4 linked regions of the Oreochromis niloticus genome follow. The protein of the gene in region 1 interacts with the protein of each later gene in a biochemical or structural test. Links are inferred from orthologs where the notes say so. Each region holds a gene or a part of one and is shown in the gene's direction. Other genes may lie near its edges.

The links.
Region 2: the proteins of nup62l (region 1) and kpnb1 form a complex in vitro, tested with the Homo sapiens proteins (2 studies listed by BioGRID). The link is inferred for Oreochromis niloticus from reciprocal best matches to the Homo sapiens genes NUP62 and KPNB1.
Region 3: the proteins of nup62l (region 1) and nutf2 form a complex in vitro, tested with the Homo sapiens proteins (3 studies listed by BioGRID). The link is inferred for Oreochromis niloticus from reciprocal best matches to the Homo sapiens genes NUP62 and NUTF2.
Region 4: of the proteins of nup62l (region 1) and ogt.1, one has a biochemical effect on the other in vitro, tested with the Homo sapiens proteins (2 studies listed by BioGRID). The link is inferred for Oreochromis niloticus from reciprocal best matches to the Homo sapiens genes NUP62 and OGT.

The regions. Positions count from the first base shown.
Region 1 is NC_031987.2:16,402,529-16,410,000, reverse strand, and holds nup62l (nucleoporin 62 like), read left to right. Parts: upstream 1-4,638; 5' UTR 4,639-4,819; intron 4,820-4,938; 5' UTR 4,939-4,944; coding exon 4,945-6,465; intron 6,466-6,556; coding exon 6,557-6,715; 3' UTR 6,716-6,954; downstream 6,955-7,472. Other genes in the region: pdk1 (pyruvate dehydrogenase (acetyl-transferring) kinase isozyme 1, mitochondrial), read right to left, coding at 82-158, 290-367, 475-564, 1,665-1,849, 1,939-2,010, 2,112-2,253, 3,570-3,678. UniProt on the Homo sapiens protein: Essential component of the nuclear pore complex. The N-terminal is probably involved in nucleocytoplasmic transport.
Region 2 is NC_031969.2:34,683,119-34,690,897, forward strand, and holds the start of kpnb1 (importin subunit beta-1), read left to right. Parts: upstream 1-4,762; 5' UTR 4,763-5,070; coding exon 5,071-5,110; intron 5,111-5,944; coding exon 5,945-6,003; intron 6,004-7,779.
Region 3 is NC_031972.2:6,984,687-6,991,781, forward strand, and holds the start of nutf2 (nuclear transport factor 2), read left to right. Parts: upstream 1-4,074; 5' UTR 4,075-4,210; intron 4,211-4,304; exon of another isoform or gene 4,305-4,432; intron 4,433-5,331; 5' UTR 5,332-5,354; coding exon 5,355-5,453; intron 5,454-7,095. Other genes in the region: tsnaxip1 (translin-associated factor X-interacting protein 1), read left to right, coding at 1-122, 210-323, 607-716, 983-1,082. UniProt on the Homo sapiens protein: Mediates the import of GDP-bound RAN from the cytoplasm into the nucleus which is essential for the function of RAN in cargo receptor-mediated nucleocytoplasmic transport.
Region 4 is NC_031966.2:27,677,627-27,684,760, forward strand, and holds the start of ogt.1 (UDP-N-acetylglucosamine--peptide N-acetylglucosaminyltransferase 110 kDa subunit), read left to right. Parts: upstream 1-4,112; 5' UTR 4,113-4,422; coding exon 4,423-4,459; intron 4,460-5,817; coding exon 5,818-5,998; intron 5,999-6,698; coding exon 6,699-6,942; intron 6,943-7,061; coding exon 7,062-7,130; intron 7,131-7,134. UniProt on the Homo sapiens protein: Catalyzes the transfer of a single N-acetylglucosamine from UDP-GlcNAc to a serine or threonine residue in cytoplasmic and nuclear proteins resulting in their modification with a beta-linked N-acetylglucosamine (O-GlcNAc).

The DNA.
Region 1 (7,472 bases):
ATCCAAATGTTTAACATTGGAAAAGAGATATTTTGAAATATAAAATGCTGACATATATGAATACGGGCTTTTAAAAAGCACCTTATAGAGTTCAAACACCATGTGATACAGATGAGATGGAACATAGACCATGGTGACAGGTTTTCCCTTCTCTTTGGCTATCAGGACAAACAGACGATTGGAAAACATTTGATTATGTTACAATTCATTCATTAACCAGTTCACAGTTTTTCCAAAGTGCGGCATCATTAAAACTGTTTGTGTTGTTTCTTCTAACTACATAAATTACCATTGAATTCTTCCAGGACCAGCTCAGGAGAGTTCATGTAATACCGATCACAAAGGTTTCTTGCATTTTCGTAGGCATCTACGAGAAAGTGGTTTGTTTTTGTTACACAACGCTTGCAAACTGGAAGAACAGCATAGATTAACACTTTGCTCCGGCATGTTTCTATAAACATAAAAAAGTCTCACCTCTGATAACCTCGCTGACCCGACAGTGTGGATCAATACTGCCAATCTGTTTGGGGTGTGCAGGATTCACCTTCCCTCCGAAGAGCAGAGCTACAGAAAAACACACAATATGAACAGTTTGAAGTATTAATACTTACTGATATTTGTCTCTGTAAGTTCAGGGTTTAATGTGAGACCTTTTGATTAGAGATAAAACAAAACTGAAGAGCAGTACCATCCTGAGGAGGCCTGAGCCGTAACAAGTTCTTTCAGTGTCACCATGTGCAGGAAATTCTAATAAAATCTTTGGTTGAAATTCCATCCACTCATCACTTATCTGGGTTCAGGTCACGGAGTCCACCCTAAGCAGACATGCCCAGACCTCCCTCTACCCATCCACCTCCTCCAATTTATCTGGGGGGACATTGAGGTGTTCCTAAGGCAGAAGAGAGCCATAATCTCTCCAGCATGTGCTAGGTCTCTTCCAGGGCCTTCCCCTGGTAGGATATACCTGAAACACCTCGTGCACTGATTAGGCATCCTGATCAGATGCCACTTGAACTGGCTCCTTTAGATGTGGAAAAGTGGCAACTCTACTCTGAGCCCCTTCTGAATAACTCAGTTGGGGCTATGTAGCCTGCAGGAGAGAGACTGGTGGTCAGGCCCACTCTCCCGTGGGTCCACCACCCGCAGGAGGGGCCGTAGAGGTTTGGTGCATTGTGGATTGTGGAACCCAGACCTTAACCTAAGAGACCTCAGAGAACCAATAGAGCAGCTGTTCAATTAAATATGAAAATAAAAGCATTAACACCCACAAACAAGCAGCAGCTGAAGGCGGCTGCGGTAAAGACATGATAGAGAATCTCAAGGGAGGAAACACGGTATTTAGTGATGTCCAAAATAAGCCATATTATATTTATTTATCTACAATGTTTTTATAGTGTAACTTTAGGCAAGTGAGCTTGTTTTGGTCTTTGCTGTCTGTAAACAATACACAAGTCATTTAATTTTCATGTAACTGCCAGAAAATGACACTGGGTGGGGTCAGTTGATTCCGGGTTTACTGTGGCAGCAGTTTTAAAATGATGCAGACAGCCTGAAACCTCAGATATCTTATCAGCACAGAAGTCTGGCTCCTGAACCCGAGGGCTTTCATTTCCAAACAAGTACAGCTCAGCAATCACATTACAAAAAATATAACATGTGCTCACTGTGCTGGTTGAGCAGCATCCTGATGGAAATCCTGCTCATGTAGAAGCGATCCAGAAAATACTGAACATTCTGGCTGACGATGGGATCTGTGCCGTACGCCTCCTTGTACTCCACAACGCCCTGAGCCATGGTGGGAATGACATCGTTGTGGCGATTTCTGATATTTATCACAGCATCTGTGAAACTAATTGAAGACATAAAAATTACAGCAATGCGTGAAAAGAATCTGCAGGAATAGATGAGCTGTTGCAGTGGTTAAAAGAGGAAACCTACTCATATGTGACTTTCTCGTCGTCTGCATTTTTGTCTTTGAACTCGAGAATCTCCTGAAGACTCTGCATGTACCTACACGGAGGAAAATGATCTTTTTGTATTTCACAGACTGGCAGGAGTTAAATACTGTTAATTCATTAAAATTAAGTGGAAAAAAAGGAGAACCTGCATACCAGCTCTGGACCAGTCGGACTGATGGGGTCCTCAATAAGTTATCTGGCAGCAAGTTAATCTCCTTCATGATGTTGGCTAGCCTCACAGGTAACTCCTGTCTGAGGAAGTTGAAGGATGTTTTCACACATGCATTTTCTGAACCTGAGAGAGAAACAAAAGGCTCAAATGCCACCTTACTACAGTAAAGGGATAAAGTGTAAAATAAAACAAGACAGCTGTTTCTCTGTGTGTAATATTAAGCCTCAAGTCAGCCTCATTTTTTAATATTTTGCTTGAAGAATGGGAAACAGGTAGAGCAAACATGTGCAAAGATACATAGAAATACAAATACACAAAGGCAAAAACAAGTTTGATAGTCCATACTTCAGCAACACAGCCTGAACTCTCTTTGTTATAGTTTTTCCCCATTTCTAAAGGACATGATAGTCTAAGGAGCTTGGAAAGAAAGCGAGTGGACTTCTGTAAGTTTCTTGAAGAAGTGGGTTTTGTCTTTTAATTTGGTCAAACCTCTTAAGGGAGAACTCCCACAAGGGATTAAATACTTGGGACTCTCGGGCATTTGGTTTTGGAACTGAAGAAGCCTCTCAGATGCGAGGTGAAACGTCTTCAAGACACTTATAGAAGTCCAGTCACTTTCTTTCCCAGCTCCTTAAACTACCATGAACAGGATGACTGAGAACCTACAAAGACATCTGCTGCAGATAGTTTTTATAGTTTTTTAGGCCTGGCACTTCTTTTTTGTTCCCTACTTGTCCAGTTTCCAGTTTAAACAAATGCAAAGATTACTATGAACCCTAATAAAGTCTGTCCTTAGAAGCATTACTCAAATAAATATACACTTTTGCACAATCCTGTAAATGTAACATGATAAAAGTTTTTCCATCATCAAGGCTGGATTACATATCAGATGCAAAACTACCCCCAAACCATTCAGGCTCCATAACCTCTTATAAACTGTAAACTTTCCATAGTTTCAGCAAACTGGACCATTTTCATCATGAAATAGAGAAAATCAACCAATCAAACAAGGGCCTAACCTTCATTCTTACATACAAGTGTTCAAACTTGACTTACACAAACAGGGCATATATTATATCCCATTAGTCATGTGTGAAGAGATACTTTAAAATCCCTTCCTGTTAAATACAAGGAAGTGTAATAAGGGGATGCTAGATGATTTTAAGAGTATCATTCGTCTTGTGAAATACATTCTTTTGGTATCAACTACCTTTACATGACAGAAGGAAAAGCTTGTGTTAGGACTGTTTGTATGGCAGTTATCCTCGGTTTAACTTTACATTAGTTTGTTTTTTCTATTTCCATATTAGTTAGTTTCCAGAATGTGTATGAATCATACACGTTGTATGAAGATTCTCCTTATTTTAGGTCAAAGTATCGTTAACGATGTTAGTAAAGCATTATGTTAGTAAATATCTACTAGTCTTGCAGCTTCTTACCAAAATCCAGAAACTGCTTCATTGATAGAGGGGAGGGTGAGAATTTGGAATAGTAGTCGATGTCCTTCCCTATGGACACGCTGCTCCTCAGAAACCTTAAAATCCTCATGCTTGCACGTTTTGTATTGCCTCACCTCCAGCTGTGACTGCTGCTTAATAAATAAATAAACAAACGGTACTCTTTTTTTAGGTTTAATCGCAGTTAGCATCCACAGCAACAGAGCCTAGCGAGGGCTGCAGCTTGGTTTGCTAATCTGTGTTGACACGAGCTTGTTAGCTAACCTCAACAGCCTGCCAACACACAAATAATTAATGATTTGCTTTTTCTTAATTTGGTGCCGTTTCAGCCTCCATTCTCACAGCTCCAGCACTGTTTTCCTAAATTGCCTTTAGCTTCTCGTGGTGGGATGCCTGGAAGAGGTAGAAAATTGTCACCATGGAAAGGAGAGTGTGCGGCCAGTAAGTTCAAAGAGTCACAGCGACGTCAAGATAAGCTACCTCTTCAAACAAACTTTATTGACCCAAATTTGGTGTAACGTTATTGGTAAACGTTACACAGCCAAACTTTTAACGTTGAAAGAAAATCGAGGAGTTTTTCAGAAGTTCCCGTAAAGTTTGTGAACTGGTTTCTTGTGGTTTTGAAGCAATTTTTTGAGTTAAGCTAACATAGGCGTGTGCAACTATATAGAAAAATATTCGTTTTGCTCTAGAAAAACGTTATAATAACGCGCCCTCTTGTTACTTAAAATTATTTGTATCTTAACTATATAAAACAATGTTCATTTTATGTAACTTTCGATTTTGATGGGAAGTGGGAAGCAGCTCGCACTGCGTACAAACGTAATACCTCTTGTTGTTAATTTGGTCTTTGATAACTTGAGCGTACTACTCTCCGACGTATGTCTGCCAGGTGACAAGCCAAACCAATCAAAGTTCGAGTTGTCTGAAATTATAATTCTAATTGGTCGTTAGACCTGCCAATATTACTAAGAAAGGCGGGTTATACTCCGCTAGACAAAATACAGGGCAAAGAAAAAGGTTATCTTTCACGCCAAACGCCGTCATTTCCTGTAGTTGACTACCGAACTGCCTACTTGAAAAAGTGTCGAGGCGGCTGGCCACGTTTTAAGAAGGATATGTTGCGATTTTTTTATCATTGTTACGATTAAAGTAACATTAAGAAGGGTGTAGTCAACTTTATTAGACCCCAACGTCTAGAAAGCCGTCGTAAAAGAGAAGCCGATTCTTCGGTAAGTTCCCCCTGGTGTGTGTGTGTGTTTGTGACCCGCCAAAAGCCAAATGATTCAGCGAGGAAGTAACCATTTTGTGCGTTAGTCGATTTTAATAATGTTATTGTTTTATCTTTAAGGAGAAAATGAGCGGTCCATTCACCTTTGGGCAGCCCTCTTCGGGCTTTACTTTCGGAACGCAGAAAACCACAGCCTCGGCCCCGGCCCCGGCCCCTACCACCGGCTTTGGACTGACAACGTCCACTCCTGCCACCGGAGGGGGCTTCACTTTCGGCTCACCCATCCAGACCCAGAGCACTACCAACCCCTCCGGTGGTTTCAGCTTTGGTACCCCAGCAAAGTCCACAACAGCCGGCGGGGGTTTCTCTTTTGGGGCACCCACCACAACGTTTGGAATGAATGCAGCTCCTCCAACCACAACAGCAGCTTCAGGGTTGACTTTAGGCTCGACGGCGACTCCAGCAGCAGGGTCGGGGTTCACTCTGGGTGCAAGTTTGTCTGCGCAGACCACCGCTACTGCACCTGCAGGAGGGGGCTTCACCTTTGGAGCTGCATCTCAGGCTCAAACCCAGCCTATAGCAACAGCCGCACCGGCGGCATCCACAGCCCCGAGTGGTCTCGCATTTGGAGGGTTCAGCTTCGGAGGTCCCAAGGTCCAGGTGACATCAGCGGCAGCCTCCACCACCACAACTAACACCAGCACCACAGGTGGAGGCTTCAGCTTCGGCACCAGTGCTCCCTCCAGCCTTGCCCAGCCAACCTCCACCGCTGCTGCTGCTGCTGCTGCTGCCGCCGCCGCCACAACAGGCCAGGGTGGAGGGTTTAGCTTTGGGATTAAACCGTCATCAACCCCAGCTCCTCCTGCATCCACCCAGGCCCCCCCATCTTTCGGGCCTTCTCTCTTCGCTCAGCCTATAACAACAGCTGCTGCCACAGCAGCAGGTCCTGGCTTCGCTTTCAATGCCGTTTCAGCTTCAGCAGCAAGCACATCCACAGCAACAACCACGGCTACTGGTGGAAGTTTGACTTTTATGATCAAACCTCTGGTTCCAGCAACCACCACATCTGCCCCCGCCTCTACCGCTACAGCTGCAGCCTCCACGACGGGTACTGTTACAGGCTTCTCGCTGGGACCCAAAACTGCATCGATCGCAAGCACCACGACAGCTGCTTCAGCCACAACCACAGCCAGCACCACCAGCACAGCTCCTCCAGTGATGACCTATGCCCAGCTAGAGGGGCTCATTAACAAGTGGAGTCTTGAGCTGGAGGACCAGGAGAGACATTTCTTACAGCAGGCCACTCAGGTGAATGCCTGGGACCGCATGCTGGTGGAGAACGGAGAGAAGATCACATCCCTCCACAAGGAGATGGAGAAGGTGAAGCTGGATCAGAGGAGGCTGAACCAGGAGCTGGACTTCATCCTGTCCCAACAGAAGGAGCTGGAGGATCTGCTCTGCCCCCTTGAGGAGTCTGTGAAAGAGCAAAGTGGAACCATCTACATGCAGAACGCCGACGAGGAGCGTGAAAGAACATACAAGCTCGCTGAGAACGTGGACGCACAGCTGAAGAGGATGTCGCAGGACCTGAAGGAGATCATCGAGCACCTGAACACGTCCAGCGGCCCGGCTGACACCAGTGATCCGGTAAGATGACGCCTCCAGTTTTTGATAATCGATAAGATTAACAAAGATTTGCTCACGTAATTCATGTCTAATTTCCTTTTTTCATCATCAGCTGCAGCAGATCTGTAAGATCCTCAACGCCCACATGGATTCACTTCAGTGGATCGATCAGAACTCTGTTCTGCTGCAGAGAAAGGTCGAGGAAGTGTCCAAACTTTGCGACACTCAGCGAAAGGAGCAGGAGAAAACCTTCCGATTAACATTCGACTGATCTGCACTAAATACTTTTACTTGTATGCTTACATTTTTACTCTGTAATCAGAGGTGTCATCAGGGCTTTAGATGGTGTAGATCCAACCCTCATTACTGTTATTTTGAGTTTTCTTGGTTGCATAAAGATTGATATTTTCAGTGCATTTGCCTTTAGAGCAGTGAAAATGATCCTCTCTTTCTATGTCAATTGTTATGTTTGTTCTAAAAAGTCTGATTAAATAAACCTTTGGAATGGAAGTCGTTTTTGTTTTGTTTCTTTTAATTATCAGGCATTAAATACATTCTTTTATATGTCAGAGGGAATGCTTTGTTCACACATACGATGCCCCTGTAATAGCTGAATTACAGCTAAGCATATGTATTTTGAAAAGAGAGGTGTGGATGGAATTGATTTGTTGTATTTACAGCTTTAAGGTTGTACAGTAAACAAAAAACAAACTGTTGATGGACAAGTAAGGCAAACATGAACTTCTACCACGCTGCAGGCCCCTCTGGTGCAGACAAGCCATATCTCTTATTACAAAAGATAACTGTTTTTTAAAGGTTGTCAACATGGCACATTGAACAGGCCACATAATACTTCGACTGAAACGGATGCAGGATTTGTTGCTCTTTAGTTTTTTAGAGTGGCAGCTGAAAATTTTTACATCAGTAATAATTTCCTGCAGGAACCTTTTGGAGATACTCAAAGCGCTTCCATCACAAGGATCAGGGTCTAACTTAAGTTTCTGGGACTTCAATAAAGTGCTATTTCC
Region 2 (7,779 bases), on another chromosome or scaffold:
GGTGACCTTTGGCCATGTGTGGGTTGTGTTCAGGTGTTCTTCCTCCCTCTGAGCGTGTGCGTGATCAGACTGATCACGCTTTTTGAAACTGAGCCTCAATCATCCCTGTTTGATTTTATACTTGTGTCCATCACCTTCGATCAGCTTCCTCTGATCAATCATCAGTTTTCTCAGGAGTATTTGTTGTCTTTGATTTTCTGTTTTCTATTTATTTTGTGCCACAGCAGCGCTTCCATCCACTCCGATTGGAGACATTCCTGTTTTCTGGCTGCTCACACTCCATTTGATCAGCTTCCTGTCGTTGCATCGTTCAGATTACTTTGAGAAATATGAATCTGTTTGCTGAAGAAACCTATTTCTGCCAGGAAAAGAAAAACATGGATGAACAGTCCAAAATCGAGTTTGCAGAAGCACGTCTGGACTTGTTTTATAAATCCTGTGTGTGTGTGTGTGTGTGTGTGTGTGTGTGTGTGTGTGTGTATAATCTTGCTTTTGTTTTAATAATCTTAATTTAGCATAGACTTATTTTATCATATCCCTAGTTTTTCTTATGATTTGCCATCAGTTGATCTTGTTTCTTGTCGTGTTCTTGACTCGTCTCAGGTTATTTCTTAATTTTAGTCACTCTGTAGTTGCGACCGAGAAAATCAAGATGATGACTTTGGGTCTTAAGTTGTTTCATTCATGAAGCGTTTGTTTTCTTGGCTTAAATGGGCTTCGGTCGTTTCTTGTGGGCGTCAGTTATGAAAAAGCATTCAGTTGTATTTGAGCAAAGTTTTGTTTTGTTTTTTTTCATGTTTCCATGGATAAAAGCAGGGAATTTCAATTATAAAGTCGCACAGATGTTTCATAAATGACGTCCAGATGCTCAGCTGTAACTGTTGGGTTTATTTTTCTTGATGTATGTGAACTGCCTGAGTTTCCTGTGGGTGGAGGGTGATGTTCAAAATGTTTTTTATTTTGTGATGTTTGTATTTTAAGATGTACACGTCTGCGACACATCAAATGGCCGATCAAATCACAGCGGTTTTAATGACTAAAACTTACTTTCAGGATAGACTAGAGTAAATGGATTGCCTTGAGCCAGCTGGCAAGTTGGTTAGCTGCAGTCAGTGCTGCTTTACCTCCGCTGCTCAAATATCACTCAGACTATTAAAACTAGTGGACAAAAAACGTCAAATTAGTGAAAACGTCCTCTAGCTAACCCACATTAGCGACAAGACCCTTTTTAATTTAGGGATTTATTGTTGTTAGCCAGCTAACACGCTAACACTAGCTCTTTAAAGATAAAAATAAAAACTAAAGAATTGAGTAAATTGCATAGAGCAAAATAGCTAATAATATAATGTTGGAACTTACATGAGAATCTGGACAGGAATATTAAAACCTGAGGGCAGGAAATAATTTGTCAAGTTAATTTATAACAGCTAAAGATAACAGAATTAGTTTTAGCTAGCTAAATTATTAAAGTATAAACTAAAAAATAAAAAAAACAAAACACTTTTTTTTTGTTAGGGAGATTTTTATTTATCAATAAGCTAACAAGCTAATTCTGTTTAATTTTAGCTTTGAAACTTGTCAGGAAAATTCCAAAATAAGCAGGAAAAGGGTTGGATTTATCAGACTAGCTGAAGTTAACTGCAAAGGCTGTAGAGGTTTAGGGTTGGCTGGGTAAGAATACCTGATACTGTTAAAGTTTAAAAAAAGAAAATGAGCGGGAAAATGGCTACATTCTTTAGGCTAGCTCAGAGGAGCTAAAATACCCAGAGGTTTAGCTAACATTGATTCAGAACTTGGTCAGAAAAATAAACGTGGAGGAAAAGATTAACCAGGTCTAAAAGTTTAGTTTTTGTTTGTTTGATATTTTTGTTTTTTTTGTTTGTTTTTTTTGTAATGATTACATTCTCAAGCTAATTGGTGTTAGCTTTTTGGTTTAGAGTAAAGTGTTCACGTCTTTCTGGGGACATGATCGTAACTGTTTACTGTCTGCTATTAGTCATTTTCTGCTGTTTGTTTTAAATATGTTAACCGTTGCCGGTGTTCAATTCTTAGGAAAAAAATGCAGCATCAGCACCTTCTGTTAGTTGGTATGAGTGAATATTGCAGCGCTGCAGCCGAGGTATCGCAGTGTTTCCTGCAGCAGTGCGTCGACTTTGGGCTGCTACCGGCTGTGAAATAAAAGTATTATGGGTAAATTTCAAATCGCCTGTGACGCCTTGTTGTGCCATAAACGCACCAGATCAACTGTCAGCATATGAATGGGTCATTTTTTTTTTTTAAACATATTTTATTTTTTCTATTTGATGAGGGGTTTTTTTTTTTTTTCTTTTTTCTTGTTTTGTTTTGTTTTGTTTTTTCGTAGGGGTGGCGCCTCGCATGCTCTCTGCCGCTTCAGCTAGCAACAAATGAGGAGGTCAAATGTGACTGGACGATAATTGCTAAGTAATGAAAACTGTTTTCGAGTCGGACACCTGCGCTCTCCTCTTAGTAAAAACTGAATCATGTGGTGTTTGATGTCCTTTTTTTTTTTTTTTTAAAGATGCACTGGATCATCATCTTCATCTTCACCTTTTGCCAAATGTAGTTTTTGTTGTGAAAAGGGGCATTTTATCCTGTTTTCCCTCTGTTGGGTTCTTTTTATACTTTGTCCATGACTCTTCCATTGTGTTGATGTTAAAAAAAAAAGAGGAAGATGTTGGAACAAACGGTAAATAGACACAAAAAGACCAACTCAAGGCAGCTACGTATGAGTGACTACTGTAAAATGACTAATAAAGAAGCAATGGGTTTGTTTTTCAGCTGTGTCTCTTTATTCAGCTCGACGTGTTTTATTCAGACTTTTCCTGCGTCACTTCACCTGCACTCACCTGGCTGTGGCCTCTCTCCTCTAATTATATATTTAAAAAATCAAATTATGGAGCACTTTCCTCAAAGTCCTAAAACAGATCAACACAGAGTCAGACACACAATCATAAATGTGTCAGTATGAATGTCTGCAGCTGCTTTTAGTAAAAACCTCTGAATCAAAGTCGAGGAGTGACACCCAACCCCTCTCTCTCATATATATAAAATTTAAAAGCAGAACATTCTAAATATCCTGTCACTGACTGGAGCAGACCGGGATGAACACAGGAGGTTTTCTGGGTTTCCGGCTCGTGCTCGAGTTCTCCAACATCGTGGAAGAACGTATGACTCTGGTGTTATCTGTAACAGCCTGTTCTTGCAAATCCAGGAGCCCTCCTCACCAGAGCCATGTCTACACCTGTCCATCACCCATCAGTCCGAGTCCAACTTACACTGGCAGCTGCAGGTCGGCCTGATGATGTGTCCATGCAGTGAGGTGATATTTCCACCAGGGCCACAGAGCGCTGTCACAGTTCAGTTTTATTCATGTCGCTCTGAGCCATCACGACGGTGTCTTGAGACCTTTTAATCGCGCCTGGTTTCAGAACTCGGAGATGATGATGGAGATGCTCGAGGCTTCGAGACAGGACCGACTAACAACAAGATTCCGATCTCTCCTTCAGGAAGTCCTTTCCTTCAGCAGCACTTCTTGCTGCCCTCTGCATGATTGACCTGAACGATCACTTTCTGGTTCAGGCCTCACCACCTCCTCGCAGCTCGGCCTCCCACCAGAGATGAGGAGTCCAGGCAACAGAAAATAAAGTGAGCTCTCCTTTAATGGAGGCCACAGGCAGGAGGACGGAGGAGGAGCTTGAAGATCGAAAGGCTTTGACGACCTGAGGAGAAGCTGCTGACAGAACTGCTGACTTCCTGTAATTGCTTTTATACAGCGCTTTCATGTGACGTCATTGTTTATGTTTTTGTGTGTGTTTGGTGTCTTTGTCTTCTTCCTGTTTCACGTCAGTCTGAGGACAGAAAACATGACATTGTCCTGCAGCAGGTTCAACGACACACTCACAGACACGTGATTTCAGCACAAACCAGCAGCTGGAGCGCAGAGCAGCTACAGGTACCAGTACAAGTACTTAGTTACTTGCAGGAGAGACTCCGTACGCCGAAAAGAAGCCAAGAGGTGCGTGCTGCTGCTGCGTTCTGTGTAGCTCGGAATCCACAGCATCAAAAGGGATCTTTGAAGAAAGAAAACGTTTTCAGCTGAGCAAACTTTAGCACAATTACTGCGCTCAGCGTACTTTTTCCTCCAAACGTCTCATTTTGTCAGCTTTGGGCTCCATCCACCTCCCATCGGGAGGAGGCCCCGGGGCAGACCCAGGACACGCTGCAGAGATTATATGCTGACCTGAGAACGCCTTGGTGTTCCCCCGGATAAACTGGGGAGAGGGAAGTATCGGCCTCTCTGTTTAGGCTGCTGCCCCTGCGACCCCGCTCTGGATAAATGGAAAAGAATGGATGGATGGGTTCTAGTGGGAGGAAGGCTGGAGCCTATCCCAGCTACCAATTTAATTTAATGGAAAGGTATTTATAATACTAACAGCTGTTCGACTGCAATGTAAAAGAAAATATTTTCAACAAATGAATGAATACATAAAAAATAAACTGTGTAGAATGAGATATTATGTATTTGTGTAGTTTAAAAGTGATGTATGATATGTATATTTTCAGTCATCAGCTCCTGCTCCTTTTCAAGCATGGATGCAGTGTTATTTTAATTGAAAGGAAGGTTTGTGTGTAGGAAATGAATTACTGTTGCACCATGTGTGAAACAAAAATGAAATGAAATCTCAGTGTACTGAGACAGGATGATATGGTGTCCGGCGGTCCCTAAAGGCACCACGTTTTCGGCGTCACTGCGTGATATCCCTCCGCGGGAGAGAAGCGCGCGGCCCTTTCCCTCCCTGTAGCACAGGATGCGAACGGGCGGAGGTGAAGAGACGAGACGTGACTCTGCGCCGACGCTGTCAACATTTCCCGCAACATCAGAGTGAGAATACGCCGAACGAACACCGGGGAACCTCCGCCACCTGTATCACCAACTCAACCCGTCCTGTGCCTGACAACGACCGAGCTCCGTGGAAGAAATATAATCCACTGTGGGCGCTGCGCGGCAACCGAAAGTGTCGGACTGAAGAGAGGCAGCCGGGGGAAGGAATGGAGCTCATCACGATTCTCGAAAAAACCGTCTCTCCGGGTGAGTCCCTGCACCACGCACCGCACACAGCCGGCGACCCGGACCCGATGCCGAACCCCGGGCCGGGGGGTGCGGTGTTTGCGAGACGGCGGGCTGCCCCGGAGCACGGGGGAAAGTTGGAAGCAGGGAGGAGGGAAACCATGCTAGCTCACTGTGCTAACCCGCTAGCGTTACGGCCTGACGCCGCTGGTGACTTAGCACTCTTCCGGGCGTTTAAGCACACTTTACTGGCATTGGTAACTCGTTAGCCTGTGGACGGGAAACCAGAAGACGCTGTCATATCGTCATCAAGTCGATTCGGGCCCACATAGGCCGTAATGCCGGCTGTATGTCCCCAATCAGAAGCCGCGACCCTGCCCATGCCCGGGTTAGCCGCTAGCTTCTTCGCTAGCTCGGGCCATTCAAACTGTCGACCGCTTTCTCGGTGTGTGCTCCCGGGTAACGCCGCTTTAGAGTCGCCGCGGGTACAGGCGAGCGCTCTGGTTGTGAGGTGACCTCTGCTCCGCTGCTTTAAGCGGAGTTGACGAAGTTTTAGCGGCTCCGCTGTTTGCACATAAAACTTCATGCGCGTCTCTGGAAACGTGTCGGCTAGCTTTAGCCTGCTAGCAGAGTGCAGGTGGCTAGCGCGCATGTTGCAGGGTCGGTGTGCTTCTCGGTACCACAGAGGGCTCTCACCGGGGTGGGAATTAAACTTTCTGACTCTGAGGTGACTCATTAGTGCGGGACATCGACCCCGGGCCCAGGTGCTTGTGTGTGAACGTCTGCTGAACACGTTTAACCACCGTGTGTTAGCCCGTCCGCTAACCAGCCCCCTCCTCTCTTCTCTGTCCGCAGACCGGAATGAGCTGGAGGCGGCGCAGAAGTTTCTGGAGCAGGCGGCCATAGAGAACCTGGTGAGTATGGAGGGAGAAGCAGTCGGAGCTCAGGCTGCTGCAGGAGAGGAGCGGACTGGGGCCGAGGACTGCTGGATCCCGCCGGCTTTTCCTCCTTCCTCCTCCCCTTCCTCCCTCTGCACAGGCGCACACGAACACACGCACACACACTGTTCATAAATGTGTCACAGTGAAAGCCTCTGTTGGCTCCTGATATGACCGTGCCAGGGTCTGCATGCTTCAGCCACTTCAAGGTCTTCATCAGAGGGCGAAGGTGATGCTCCCACACTTCTGCATACCCTTTTTGTGGTCCTGACCTTTGACCTTGCCCTCACATACTATTTAAGTACAGATGTTAACTTCAAGCAGAACAGGAAGTGGTTCGTAGCAAGTATAAATATGTATGTCCAGCGACTATATCTCTGTAAACACCCCGTAAACGGGCTGTTTCTGCTGGTCACATGACAGCAGCTTTCTGTGACCAGGTGTGACCGGCAGGTGTGAGCAGGTGGCTCTCTGTGAAACATCAGTGTGAGGGTCACAGCTGTTCCAGGGTCTCTGTGAGGGTTGGAGGCCGTCTCCACGGGTCGCTCATCTTCAATGTGTGGTTAGTTTTGACTGATATTCTGTAGTGAGGGCGGGGCTTGATGAGTTAGGGTGATGTGGGTACGTGGTTTACTTGTTACTCAGGGAAATGTTTAAATGTGCTTACAGATGTGGTGACTGGCATGTACAACTCCAACTAAAAGGTGCAGATGGTGGGGGAGTTGGGGTAGGGCCGGTGGGGTTTGCAGTAAAGCCGCCATGGGGCCGTGGCGGTGTGCGGTGTAGTTTGTGACCACGTGGGTGCTGTTGTCACGTGTCACTGGGAGACCAGGTGAGCCATCCTGAGCAGCAGGTTCACCTGAAGAAATGTGTCTTCCTGTTTATACGCACAGACACTCCTAATGATCGTCAGCTGCGTGAGGTGATGTCATCGTCGGACCAATAAAATCAAAGACGACTTTCTGTAGTTTTTATTTTGTAGTTTTTGTAGCGTCAAGAAGATAAATATCAGACTCTGTAGTCACATGACCTCGGTGTTAGAGACAAAGGTGAGAACAGTTACCGTTTATCTTGCAGTTATAAATGAAGCCCCGCCCCTCCGCTTTACAGTGTGTTGACAATAAAACCGTAAACTCGGCAGAGTGTAACCTGACCAGGTCCATAACTCCTGCCACACGCCGCCATTGCGGCCCGAGAGACCACTGATCTAATATTTAAAACTGACTCAGTTCAAATCCAGATGTTTCAGCTGGATCGTGGTTTCTGCATGCTAAAGAACATCTGCATACACACAGTGTGCTGCTGTGGTCGTCTGCTCACTGCAGAGGAACAGGAAGCTGTCTGTCCAGAGAAGAATAAATGTTCTCGTTGGAGCTGATTGAGAGCACCTGGACACCTGCGTGAGGCGTGACGCTGATGGCGTCCTGCAGACAGAAGAAACGTAGTTGGCAGTTCTTTGCTGTTTGCCTCTGTCTGCGTGTGCTACTGCCACCTTCTGGCAGCAGGAGCACGCTGCATCCTATCAGGTGTGAGGGGAAAAGTATTTTAGTACAAAAATATCTTCACCTGTTTTCTTCTCTGGTCTGATGTTAGTTGTAGCTCGCCGTCCTTCAGCCTGAAGCAGAGCGACGGGGTCAGGTGTGCCTCACCTGACTGGCAGGATGTCTGGAAGCAGAGTGAGCGATCCGATCACTAAGTCTGTGTTAAATGCTCCGCCCAGCAAACTGACACAGACTTCATGTTGACAAGCTA
Region 3 (7,095 bases), on another chromosome or scaffold:
GTCGAGAAGACCTGAGGAACGCCCAGGAGGAACTGAACAGGATGAATGCAGAGTACTGGGGTGTTGTGCCCCAGTGTGACTGGGACGCCCTTGAACAGAAACACCAACGGACCGAGCTACAGGTATCTCATGCTGGATACTATATGTAGACTTCATGACTTAACATCTCAACAGTCTTTGGTGACTTTTTTTTTCTTTTTATTGTGAAGTTGAAGACACTCCAGGACGACTTTGATCAGTTAAAGAGTGAGCATGACACTCTGCTGGAACTCCACAAAAGAGGCAGCATGCAGGCCAAGACACACGTCTCAACCTCTGTCCAGGTACTTTACGTATGTAGAACTTGAACAGATTTTCAATCCTATGAATATTCTAATAAATGTAATGTGTGTGTCAATATTTGTCTCTAATCTAATAAATGTCACCTGATAAAGCTGATAAAGAGCCTAAATATGAATAAATTAGGGTCCAGAAGATCGATACTGCTATTCCAGCGTTAGAGACAGCTTGACATAAAGAGTGGAGGAAATAATAATATTTGCAAAATGTCATCGTAAACTGACAAAAAAAGTAGCGACCAAACATTGCCACCAAAATGTTTTTCAGACTGATGAGAGTGGGTCCCAGTGGCAAAGCCACATTCAGTCCCAGCAACAAGAGGAACCAGTCACCTCTGATGCCCCTGAGAGCAACATGTTCCCTGTCCATGAGTCTAGGTGATAAAAATAGATATACATTGAAACATACACACATATGCATGCACACACAAATAAATACTGGATGAGTCAGTTTTATTTATACTGAATAAAGTCATAATTTTGCCTCAAGGGGCTTTAAAATATGTGCAGCATACATTACTGCCTAGCCTTATACCATCAGTTCAGATAACCCTTGAAGGTTATGAGTAATTTTCTGTGTCTGGTTCTGTTTTACTATGTCAAATGAGAGCCATGTGTATATATGTGTGTGTTCATATGTATAGGGAAGCCCACAGGACAACATATTTTGGAGAGGAAACGGATCTACATGTGGCCTCATCTCAAGGTGAAGCAGGCAACAGTGGTGATCCCATCTCCTCTTAGAGCCTGGGTTTAGCGGCTGGGGTCTCAAGTTTGAGCCTTGATGTAATTCACAACATGTGATCAAAATTGTGAAGATGCTGAATTAAATATTAGAAATTGTGGCCACTGGGATACTTGTGAGTTTCCAAGCTTTACCTTCAGCTCCTTGACAATTCAGTGGAAAATGTACCATCAAATCTTAAAACCACTTTCCTAACAGTGAGTGAAATACTCGTATAGTATTCATTCTGTATTGCAACAGTTCAATGATCTTATTCATCTTATTCACACAAATGTAAAACAAATGTAAGAACAATGCCCTTCACCTCTTTTGTTCTGGGGAAAATTAAAGCCTTGTAAAATCAGCCAGAACTATTTTCATTTGTTCCCTGGAAATGGTTAAGTGTTTTTGTTGATTTTTGCTTTGCTAACTGTGCTAATCAGGCTAAATGCATCTTATTAAAATAATTTTAATTCATATTACTTTCTTTGATATGGTATTAAAAGGGGCCTACTATGCCATGTCCATTCATTTACTACATTCATATTCTTCTCCTTTAACAGAGTATCTTTGCATGACTGACAGTTCAAAATAATCCCTGTTTATTTTATTCTGGGCCTTGGTGGAGTCCTTCACTTCATACTTTCCTCTTTCCTTTAAGCAGACTTTCTTCTGATTGGCTGCCCCTCGAAATCAGAGCGTTTGAAAAGCAAGTGGGTGGAACTTCTGTGTTCACAGTTAGTGTGCGCTTGAGATGACCTTTTTAGGGATTAATCCCCATTCACTATGAAGCCATACATATTCAGGAGAAGAACAAATGTAGGAGAAGGCATTTAGAGCAATGACTCACAGCCACGTATATTGACTTTAACATTGAAAACTCTGGCCATGTTTAAAATGAGTATCCAACATTGTAACACAATATGTATGACAGAGAATAAAGAACTGAATAATGTAACATTTTTTGAGCCTGTTTAAAAAAATACATTCATTTACAACATCCAAGTCACCAGCTCTGATGCTGCTTCCCCAGCACACCACAGCAAAGCACATTGTGCTCACTACAACTGGCTGATGGAAAATCTCCGTGATTTTGCTCTCGTTTTGCTCTCTTCGTTAGGAAGTAGAGCTTGCTCATCCTCTTTTTGGATACAACTTCTGTGTTGGTCTTCCAGTTCAACCTGTTGTTGATATGGATGCCTCTGTATTTGTACTCCTCCACCACATCAGCATCCTGTCCCAGGATAGGCATGGGTCAGTTGTCCTCTTTCCTCTGAAGTTGATCGCAGTCGCTCTGGTCTTATTCACATTTGGAAGCAGATTAATCCTCCCAGGTCAGTCCATTCACCCACTAGTGCTTTGTGCTCCTCTTCCCACCCACAGCTAGTACAGCCAACAACTGCAGAATTGTCAGAGTATTTCTGTAGATTGCATAGACCACAATTGTACTGAAAACCTCAGGTGTACAAGGTGAGCACAAATGGAGATGACACAGTTCCCTTTGGAGCTCCTGTACTGTACTGTCCAGTCTCCCAAATTGCAGTCTGTCGGACAGGTAATCATTAATCCAGGAGATAGTGGACAATGTTCGTTCATATTTCTGGTAGCTTCTGTATTCGAACTGCAGAGGGTCACGAGATGTTTTCACTTATGTTGGACAGTACTTATCTCTCGACAATCTTCATTAAATATGATGTAATGGCAAGTGGTCAATAGGCTTTAAATTCTTAATAGTGTTGAGGTTTTTGGTACAGGAACTAGACAGGATGTTTTCCCTAATACTGATATCATCTCCTGTTTCAAACGTTGGCTGTAAATGTGACTCAGGATCATGGGCAGCTGGCTAGCACAGGTCCTCAGCACCTTGGCGTTGATGTAATCAGGCAGTTTTGTGTAGCCTATTAATGGGAGAATTTTAGTATTTAAACATGTGTTACTTGTAGCTTGAGAGTAGATAGCAACACATGTAGTAAAATTAATTTCTTTCAGGACCAAAACAAGGAAAGCGGTGAGGCTCAGTGACGTTGTAGTCCATGCTCTGCAGAAACAGATAAGTTAATGTGCTGCTAATGGTAATATGTCCACCCCAGATAAGCACCTTTCTCTGCCAGTTTTATATTTCAAATGCTGATAGCATGTTTGAAAATGTCTTCCAATCTTTGACTGTTAAAAAATGCTTTGCAACCTAGGGCTCAATAAAAGATTCCCCAATGCCCTGATATTAACAGGGTTATTATATAATCTCAAGGATTTATTCTGAGAAGGTTCACAACCCATATGAGCTGCACTTCATTTGTAAAAATAATTCAGTAAATAGATAGATAGTTGCTAACTATAGAAACTAACTAAAATAGTAAGAGAATAGATTTATTTATTTCTGTGTCAGTGGTATTCATCAAGTGTGCATTTAAATGCCTTTTGATTGACTGTACAAATATAAGGAATCCAAGAACTGGCAACTGACAGTAACCCCTAATATTGAATAAAACTCAAACAAATTAGTATATTTTATTTAATTATCGAAACCTAATTTGTGCAATGTAGATCTGATGTTTTTAACAAACCAGGGTGTGTTGGTTTGTGGATCTATTTGCGGTGGCCTTTACTGCTGCTGACTGCAGAAATAAATCGTGTTTGGGTAAAAAGCTTTGCTTATGCGTTTTTTCTCAGTCTGGTGGACTCAGCAACCTAACCTAAGAGAACAATAAAGGCACAAGTTACAAATTACTAAATCTGTTTTGTGCTGCAAATTGATGTCATTTTAAAAGCTAATGTAATGTAAGTGTTCTTGCTGGACAGTGGTGACTGTAGCACATTTAATCTTTGTACATCAAATAAAATAAAACCATTTTTGACTTACCATTTTTATTGTCTGTTACTCCATGGGTTTTTATTGTTTTTTCACTTCAGAAATCATCAAAACGTGTGATTTGGAAATGACACACTTTTAAATAGACATATCTTTATATAGTATGTATCAGAATGTGGCAGTATTATGTCAAATGTGACAGACGAGCAAATTGAGCGTGTTTTGAGTATATACTACAATCCCCATAATGCATCGGGCCTTTTACGGCTTTTTGTACGTACCCTCGTAGCGGAGCAGACATTGCACTGTGCGATCGTGCAGCCGGCCTCGGCGTAAGAGGTAAGTTTTTATTACTAGTTTTTATGGTGCCCCCTTACAAAATAGTGAATGGAAACATGTTCGAAAACAAAAAGCGCTAGTTTAATCTGACATTTGAACAAGCCTGACGCGGTATAAGTTATTAAATCGGTTGCTATTGGCCGGTTTGGGGCTAACGACGGACACGCCTATGTAGAGTAGCTGCTTCGGGGTTCCAGAGCTGTGCGCGCGGGCCCGCAAGAGGTATGAACACTCAAAGCAGACGGGGTATTTTTAGTAACTGGTGAACAGGCTACTACCAGCTGGCCGATCAGCTAACGCCTGGAAATATAATTTATCTGACGCCTAACATTGGCTGGCGAGGAGACATGCTACGTATATGAACTGTCTGTGCTAGCACAGGCTGAGTCAACATTAGCAAACATGACACAAGCTAGCAGCAGCTAGTTAGCTAGAGTTAAGTAGTTAAAAATGAGCTTTTTCGTACATTAACGTTACTTGCTCATGTTTCCTCAATCTCCCTTTACTTCTGACTATATTTACGGGGCCCTGAACTACTTATGTGTGGTCGCAATTCGGGGTATGTTGCTCGCAGTCTACTGCTAATGTGCAGAGCGCTCGGATTGTTCCAGTAACAGCCGTGTATCGTTATGTGGGAGCACATGACTTGGGCTGTCAGTGTCACCCGAGCGGAGGGATCCGTTGCAGCAAAATATACTTTGGCTCATTCAGTATAAGTAATTTTAACCTTTATTTTTGTCAATGAAACAGGATCTATATGCTATTTTTTTGTGGTCTTTAGTTAAAAACATATTTTTCTTTTAAAAAATTTTAACAAAAATCAAAGCAATGTGTACTGTACAGTCTATTGTACTGTTCGCTGCTTTAAGAGCTTGATTCTATAAAACAACATCATCCCAGAATACTGTCTTGAATTATGGTAGTGAGGGCTGTCCAAGAGGGTTTTCAGAAATCTGAAGCTTATGTTGACATCTGGTGACTATAAATTAGTTTTGATATAAGTGGGAGGCTGCTGGTGGTGGTGGTGGTGGTGGTGCTGTTGTTGTTGTTGTTTTTTCTATGCATTGCCCTTTTTCTTATCTCATTACGTTTGTCTGACTCGCTCTCTCCCACACGCTCAGTGTGAGTTGCAGGGTGATTCAGGATGGTGGACCAGCCTTTGTGGGAGCAGATAGGATCCAGCTTTGTGCAGCACTACTATCAGATGTTTGACTCTGACAGATCACAACTGGGATCTATATATGTGAGTTGGACTTGTCTTATGTAGGTGTTTATGAGTAAACACTTGCTGTAATAAGCTCACTTTCCTTAATTTCGAGTTTGTAATCCTTATGATTTAGGATTTAGGTATTGTCCACTCAGGTCACTTTATGTATATGGCACATTTTAAAGTGTTTTACAAACACATAGCTTGCATAACAGACAGGCAGCATATTAAAATTTATAACTGAGAAATATGTCAGACAACAGTTAAAAAAAATAAAATATAGAAGTGGCAGACAGTTCGAGAGCCTAGGGGCAATATTTGCAAAGTCTTGGTCATTTTTAGATTTTATGTGAGAAAAGGACACCAAGAGAAGTTATTGTGATGATGACCTCAGTGATGTGATGTGGAGTTAAAAGATCTGTAATATATTTGTTGAGCTAATCCATAGAGGGCTTTAAAACAAATAATGTTTAAATATATTCAAAACTTTGCAGGTTGCCAGCGCAGCTTAGCTAAAACAGCTTTGCTTACTCGTACGAGTTGAGCGGCTGTGCTTTGAACCATTTGTAAATGAAAGAAAGTGCAATTGGGCAATCCTACACACAGGGAATTGCTGTAGTCCAGCTGAGAGGTGATAAAGGCATTGATAACTCTTTAGTTCTTTGGATACAAAACTAGTTTTCATTTGGTGATGGTTCTCAGTTGGTGAATGTTGTCAAGCGGCTTTTGACAAAATTCCTGATTTGATTGTTAAAAGTTAAGGAAATAAAAGCACCAAGATTTTTAATGACAGTGTCGACATATCTGGATAAATGAGCAAGTAACTCAGTGAAGATGTTTGTGGGGCTGGGAGGGCTGAATAAAATAGCCTCAGTTTTGCTGTCATTTAGTTCTAAACAATGCGACAAGACTGAGTCAGAAAACATGGTGAATGAAAAGAATAGTGTTTTCTAAAAAGTCCTTAGTTTTTGTGTTGATTTTTACCCAAACTCACTCCTGTCTACGTAGTAGCATGTTTCGTTTAGTTCACTTTTTTTTTTTTTTTTGGTTAATATGCATATATGAAGTTAATTTCAAGTTTAAGGGAATTCACTGTTAGGAAGCCTTTTAAAATAAATAAATAGATAAATGTTTCTAAAGTCAGTGAATAATTGTCCAATATTGACCAGAATATATCTGGATTTTGATAATCGAGCGGTCTAGACATCAGCCTTGCATTGTCAGACTTACTCCTGAACTTGTGGCTTGTGGTCATGATGATTATTATTTGGAAGCATGTCGTTTTCACTCGCACATACCATGCACATGCCAAGCCATGGATCTTTGGATTGAATTTTTTTTCCCTCTATAGTTGAGAACTTGTGATTATATAATTACAAAGTGCTGCCAAAGGCACAAAGGTAAACAGTTTGTCAATAAGTTCTTAGTTTAGTTGACAGAAACTGTCACATTTTGTGTTCTTTGACTCCACCTTTTTAAATGTGTGGAACTTCTGTTGAAAATGGTTTTATTTTTTATGATGGAATTGTATTTATATATAATAAAATCTGTCTTGAAACAAAATAAGCAGTCTTGTCTATACATTGCACAGGTATTATTAAATAATCAGAACATTGAGTAACCCCTAGCTTTAGCCCTTATGTCATTATATGGCCCTCGGGGCACGCATTCTATGAGT
Region 4 (7,134 bases), on another chromosome or scaffold:
TTAAAGTAAAATTCAACTTCTTTGTGAACTAACACTTATCGTCAGTGTAAATAGAATATATGAGTTTTGAATTACAATGCCTCAACAACGCTCTTCTTCTTTCAGCTGCTCCCTTTAGGGTTCCCCACAACTGATCCTCTGCATCAGTCTCATCCTATCCCCAGCATTCTCCTTTGACATACCAGCCCTCTGCATACGCTCCTTCACTACATCCATGAATCCTCTCTATATTCTTCGCCTTTTCCTCCTGCCTGGTGCCATCCTTTGTTCACTTTAACCACAATCTCACCTCTGCAAATCCCAACTGTCTCAACTTCGTCTCTCTACTCTATCTTTGCCATCTCAACCATATAAGCCAGCTCTCCTTCCACTTACCAGCCATGTCCCCTGTATTTAAAGTCCCTAGTCTAACCTCTACACACCTGTCTTCATTTTTCATTTTATGGCAAACACCATTCCTCCTGATTTATCCAGGATTGGGACTGACATTAGCCGTATACTTGCTTGCAGCTCCCCTGTGGCTGGGTTAGTGCCTCAACAAGGTTACAGCCATAAAAATCAAAAGGATCCATTAATGTGAAACTGTAGACAGGTTCTGAAATACTTGATGTTCAGAATTGGAAAGAGCAGAGGAATGTGAAAATTACTAATTACAGAACAACATGTGTAGAGTGAGCTCATGTTCTGCAGACCCAGGATTTCATAGTGCTCTTTTTTATATGGTATCAATAATAATGCTCCTCTGTTTTAAAGGGAGAAGAGCTAAAAAAGCTTGTTTCGGTTTGTGGATGAGATGAAAGGCTCCACAATTCCTCTGATCTTGAACTGGATAAGTGTTTATCAAATGGATGCAAAGCTAAAGTAGTGGTGACCAAGAATAAAAATATAGAGTGGAAATGAGCATAATACGTACCCGTTTAGGTACGAATGACTGAATGCAACAAAAATATTCAACAAATAAACAAATAACCCCCGAGTAAAGCATTCCAAAACACTGCTAATAATGTGGGTCATCAGCTTGCACTGGATCTTATCCGAAAATAAATGGGCTGAAATAATTTAGGCCACTCATTTGGTGGCAGAATTTTCTGGGCTGGTATTTTAGCAGCACAACGGACTCCAAATATCTCCCAGCTTTGCTGTGATTTTGATATCGCCATATCCAAATTGACGTGTGATCGGACCCCTTGCTCTCGGACGCTTCCTAAAATAGCTTGTGTGAAAGCAGGGTCTGTTGTGCGGAGCTGTCACTGACCCTTTCGGCAGGGGAAGATGCGTTCACACTGACTGCCTTCCTTGTGACCGTAGCCTGCACAAAGATAAAGCATGTCACATTCAATCGCCATAGACACACGGTACCCATGACATCATCCTGTGCACAAGAGGCCGACGAAGCGGTGTGAAGAGTGAGAGCAAAGCAGAGGAACGTGAAGAAGAGCACACAAACCAGGCGCCCTGTGCATGCTTTGAGCACACAGAGCAAAACCAACATGGGCAGTGATGTCAGCTGCTTTCCCATAGAGAGGCTATGGGAAAAAACTGGGGTGCAGCCCCCCTTTTTAACATCTTCTAGCATAAATGGCATATTAATCCCTCACATTTAATTGGAAAAGGTAACATTAAATATGTCACTCAAAGAGTTGTTGTACATAACCACTTAGTTTGAATACAAAACAGTCACTAAATTCTGATGCTGGTTGATGTAAAGCTTTAAAACCATAGAAAGGATTCTTGCAGTTTTGTGAAAAAAGGAAGAACATCTTAGTAGTACATTACATCACATTTCCAACTACAGACACATGTTGCAGAAATAAAAAGATCTAATGCACAGTGTCTTAGGCCAGTCTGCAAGGCTCCGGATCTGAATCTAAGAAATGGGTTTACAAAGGTTGCCCTCTGTTGGTGATTATGAATCCTGCAGAATAGTTGCACCAAAAAGCTGCATACCGTGCAGCTTGTACACCCAAGCTGACTGCCTGTGCTGACAAAGGTTTTTGAAAACCAATTTCTATCTTAATTAATTCAGAATTTATGCTAAAGCTACACCTATTGTGTTGGGGAGTCATGCAGGTATTGAAATTAGAAATAGATGGAACGAAAAACAACAAAAAACCCTGTACACCCCCACCCCTCTTTGTCCCACAATGAAACAATCCCAAACATTAAAGAAATTATATGGCTTAACATTGTCCCTAACAAATATCTGGAATATGTGGAAATTATTTTCCATTCCTTAAATTTTTCTACACTTTCAGCTGATCTGCTCATTAAAGTATGCACAGTTGTAAAGTGTAAAGTATTTTCCCCCCTTCCTGATTCCTTAGGTTTTTGCATATTTCTCACAATCACATGTTTCAGATCATCAAACAAATTTTAATATCAGGCAAAGATAACCTGGGTAAATAGAAAGAAAGAAATTTATTAGGGGAAAAGTTATCTACCTTCCTCCCCATGATGAACTAACTGTGATTAACCACGTTTATCAAAAATAGTAAGGTCAGTTTCTCCTGCCACACCCAGGCCTGATTAATGGCCTGTCGAACCAAGAACTCACTTAATAGAACCTATCGGAGAAGTGAAGTTTGCTAAAAGATCTCAAAAAGTAACGCATCATGGAACGATCTAAAGAAACTCGAGAACAGATAAGGAACAGTCACTGACATTTATCAGTCTGGAAAGGTTTGGAAAGCGATTTCTAAGGTAATGAGACTCCAGTGACTCACAGTGAGAGCCATTATCCACAAATAGAGAAAAAAATGGAACAGAGGTGAACCTTTGCAGGAGTTGCCGGCCTACCAAAATTACTCCAAGAGAGCAACGATGACTCAGCCAGGACGTCACAAAAAACCCCAAATCAACATTAAAGAACCGCTTCACACGTCTCAGTTAAGGTCAGAGTTTATGATTAAAAAATAAGAAAGAGAGCTGGGAGAGTTCAAGGAGAAAACCATCGCTGACCAAAAAGAACACAAAGACTCGTCTAACAAAACATCTTGATCATATATTTAGGAATTTAAGGAAAATAGTCTTTGGACTGACAAGACAAAAGCTGAACATTTGGGAACGTTTGAGTCCCGTTATATCTAGCATAAAACTAACACAGTATTTGGTCAAATGGAGCATCATACCAGCAGTCAAATACTGTGGTGGTAGTGTGATGGTCTGAGGCTGCTTTGCTGCTCCAGGACAGGGACGACTTACCGTAATTGATGGAACTTTGAATTCTGCTCTCTACCAGAAAATCCTGAAGGAAAATGTCTGGCTAGCACTTCATGTCCTGAAGCCCAAGCCTGTTTGGATTATGAGTGGGACAATGATACAAAACACACCAAGTCCACTTCTAAATGACTTAAAAAATAAGAAAAACAAAAACAGAAGCAAAATAAAGATATTTTAGTGGCTTAGTCAAAGTCTGGATTAAAAACAGGTTTCGAGGGCATTTACTTTTTCACAAATTGGGATTTATTTACTAAAATAAATCATAATTTATCTCATTAATCTGTGTCTAATATTAAGCTTTGCTTGATGATCTGAATGATCTGTGACAACTTGTTCACAGTACTGTATAATTGCATAATGTAATTCTTGAATTGTATTTTAGGTAACATCACTACCACTTCAGTTTTTGCGCCTCTTTTATCTACATAGCACAGCCGCGTAGATCTTCAGCTGTACATTGCGTAATTTAAACAGAATCCACCCACTGTTATATAATGTCAGTGTCTCACATTATTCTCCTTCCGTGTTACCGCCAATCTGCACGCCAGACTCGTGCGGCTGTGGTAACACGTTACAATCCATAGATGATCTGCCTCGTGAATCTTACAACCGGTTCTCTGCTGGCTTTTTCCATTTGCACTCCGTCTCACTGCACCAATGTGTTCTTCCGCGCAGCATCGTTCCTAATGTGTTTTTTAAACTTTAGTAAACAAAGAAATAACACGCGATAAATGAAGAAAAATGTAATCACAAATCTTCTGAAATATTTTTATATCGCTAAGTGCGATATTTATTACAGTTTTACACACGTGTCTCGGTAACGGCGGTGAACGGATCTAGTTTATCTCAAAAACGAGTTCCACCCATCTCGCCATTTTATGATTCACTGCTGCTTTGTTGGGAAGGGGAAGCTAGCAAGAGCCATTTAACAAACAGCACGTAACATGTTAGCTTAAAAACGACCTCTTAACAGCAAGACAATTGATTGGGTATTAGCCAGCTGATACTAACCACTGCGAGATCTACATTTGTCGCTTTAGGGGGGGGAAAAAAAAAAACATACGTTAGGACATTAGTTTAGCTAAATCTGCATAGCTATTCGGGCAGCGTGTTTGCTGCTTGTCGCAATTTTTTTTTCTCTGAAATTGTTATCTGCTAGAGGACACATTGACGACCACCGTGCAAGACTCGAAGACCGAGGAGATGGCGAGCTCAGTGGGAAACGTGGCCGACAGCACAGGTTTGCTGTTTTTATGCAAGTAATTCTACACAGAAGGCAACAAGGCAAGCTTCAAAGACGGTGTCCTTGTGTAGGTTTTTCCCCCTTAGATGCGATCGAGCTAGTATCTAACAAATAGACCTTAAAAAAAAAAAGAAAATCGGTAAACCATTTTAGCCACGTTTTTATTAAATTTGTCTTTTGTCCAACGTGGAAGAACATGTTAGTAATAGCAACGCGGGCTCAAATTTCTACCTCGCATCGCGACAATAAAAGCGCTAAAGCTAACGTTAGCGTAATTTAGCGGTTAGCACAGGTTTGCGTCGAAGTAGCCGTAAATTGTCTGCTAGTCACACTTTAATGCAGACGAATCAGCGTTCCACGAAGGTGCTTTAGCGGTTTGCTCGGGGTGCACCATTTTTGTTTCATGTTTAAGGGTCGCTGTAAAAGCTAAGTTAGCACAAAGGGGCTTGATGATGTCTTTGAAATTTGTAATCTGGGGGCCTTGCTACTGAAGTTGGCCCCGCATGCCTCACCGCTTAGCACAGATAGCCTTTAGGCTAATGGTAGCATTTATCCCAAAGGTTATCGGCGATACTGATACCAGAATGTTCTGAACCCCGGCATTTACGCGCATTGTGACTGGTGATTTAAGCAATTTAAGCTATACTCTTTCCACAAGTAATGTTACGTAAGTGTCATGAACGCTTGAGCAAACCGGATCTACTGCATTATTAGCCCTGCAATAAAAGTTTAACTGTATGCTGTGGCTTTGTTTTCTCTGCCCCACCTTGGAGTAACTATTTCGTTTTGTTGGAGCAGAGCGTTTTGATGTGTTCACTACCACTGTGAAGTGGTAGTTATAAAACCATAGTTGTATGTAAAACTATTACACAAGGCCAAAAAAAATTAGAAATTGTATTAGAATAAGTTACAATAAAGTAATCTGGTGTTTTGTTGTTGTTGTTTTTTTAAAAGTACATATTTGATATGTGAAATTACTAAACATCCAAAATGTGTTATGGAGGGTTTTTGCCAGAACTTTTCACACCTGTTTCATCCATCTGCCTGCCTGTTTTCCCATCACACATTATTTTCCTCCATTTTTTTTATTTGTTAGACTTTATTGTGAGTCCTACAAACACAATAAAATGTAAAATCCCCAAATGTGTATCATGACCCCCCCCCCCCCCCCCCCCAACCCCAACCTTGTTTTATGTTGAGTTCAAATTGTTAGTCACTCTTCTTAAATAAAAGCATTTGTCTTTTTTTCCTCTAAAAAAAAAAAAAAAATTCTGTTATCATTTGTCTGATTTTAATTTTTTCCATCACCTCTAACGTGTCGTTTTCCCCCTCCTTGGCTTATGTTGGTGCTCCAGAACCAACAAAACGTATGCTTTCCTTCCAAGGGTTGGCTGAGCTGGCGCACCGGGAGTATCAGTCAGGGGATTTTGAGGCAGCTGAGCGCCACTGCATGCAGCTGTGGAGGCAGGAGCCTGATAACACAGGCGTGCTGTTGCTCCTGTCCTCCATCCACTTCCAGTGCCGAAGACTCGACAGGTGAGGTGTTGGGGGGGTGGAAAAGCACACTGGGCATGTGAGCAGTAGCAGAGAAAAATGGGTCGTCTTGGCTTTGAGTGCACACACTGGGGAGTCCTGTGGAGCAGCTGGGCTGTCTTGTGCAAATCCTGTTATGTGGTTTAACTTGGGTTTTGTGCATTTCTGGTGGTGGGAGTGTAACCTTTCTTTTCAGGTGCTTGGGTCTTTCAAGTAACATGATCTAAATGCTTTTTCACTCATTTCAAATCCTTAAATGTGGACAATGCCAGTAGCATTACAGTCTTGTAATGCTGTTGAATTTGGTATTTAACCATAATATAAATGCTAAACTTAACTTGCATGCTTTTGTTGTTGACCCCAAAAACTGTTGGTTAGTAAAAATGTTCCATGACGGCTCACGGGATCAGATTGAACATGGTGATCTTCTTCGCAGTATTTTCATCATAACTTATGTTGGGCTGTACTGCCTGCACGAGAATTAGTTTGCATAGTAGACATTTGAATAAAGAGTTTTGCTCAGGTGCTGTGGCCCATGTTAATGTGTCTTGATATTTGGGATTTTCATCATATTTGACAATGCATCTTAAACTAATTTTCTGTTCTTTAACATCTTGGGCCTTGCTGTTGTTTCTACACAGCAGTTTGAACCAACTGTGTCAGCTCTGGAGTGTAACCGTTTGTGCATAATCTTTCCTTGCAGGTCCGCTCACTTCAGTACCTTGGCCATCAAGCAGAACCCAATGTTGGCTGAGGCCTACTCCAACCTGGGGAATGTGTACAAGGAGCGTGGGCAGCTGCAGGAGGCAATAGAGCATTATCGCCATGCTCTGAGACTCAAGCCAGATTTTATCGATGGGTACATCAACTTGGCTGCAGCTCTGGTGGCCGCAGGAGATATGGAGGGAGCCGTGCAGGCTTATGTCTCCGCATTACAATACAACCCAGTGAGTTAATTTATTTTTTCTAAATTATATGTGCCAATGCCCTATACATGTATTTAGTTAGAATGGCCACAAATCGGCTGTTTATTGAAATAGTAATTTATTTTTTTTTATCTCCACAGGATCTATATTGTGTGCGCAGTGACTTGGGGAATTTGCTTAAAGCCCTCGGGCGTTTGGAAGAGGCCAAGGTAT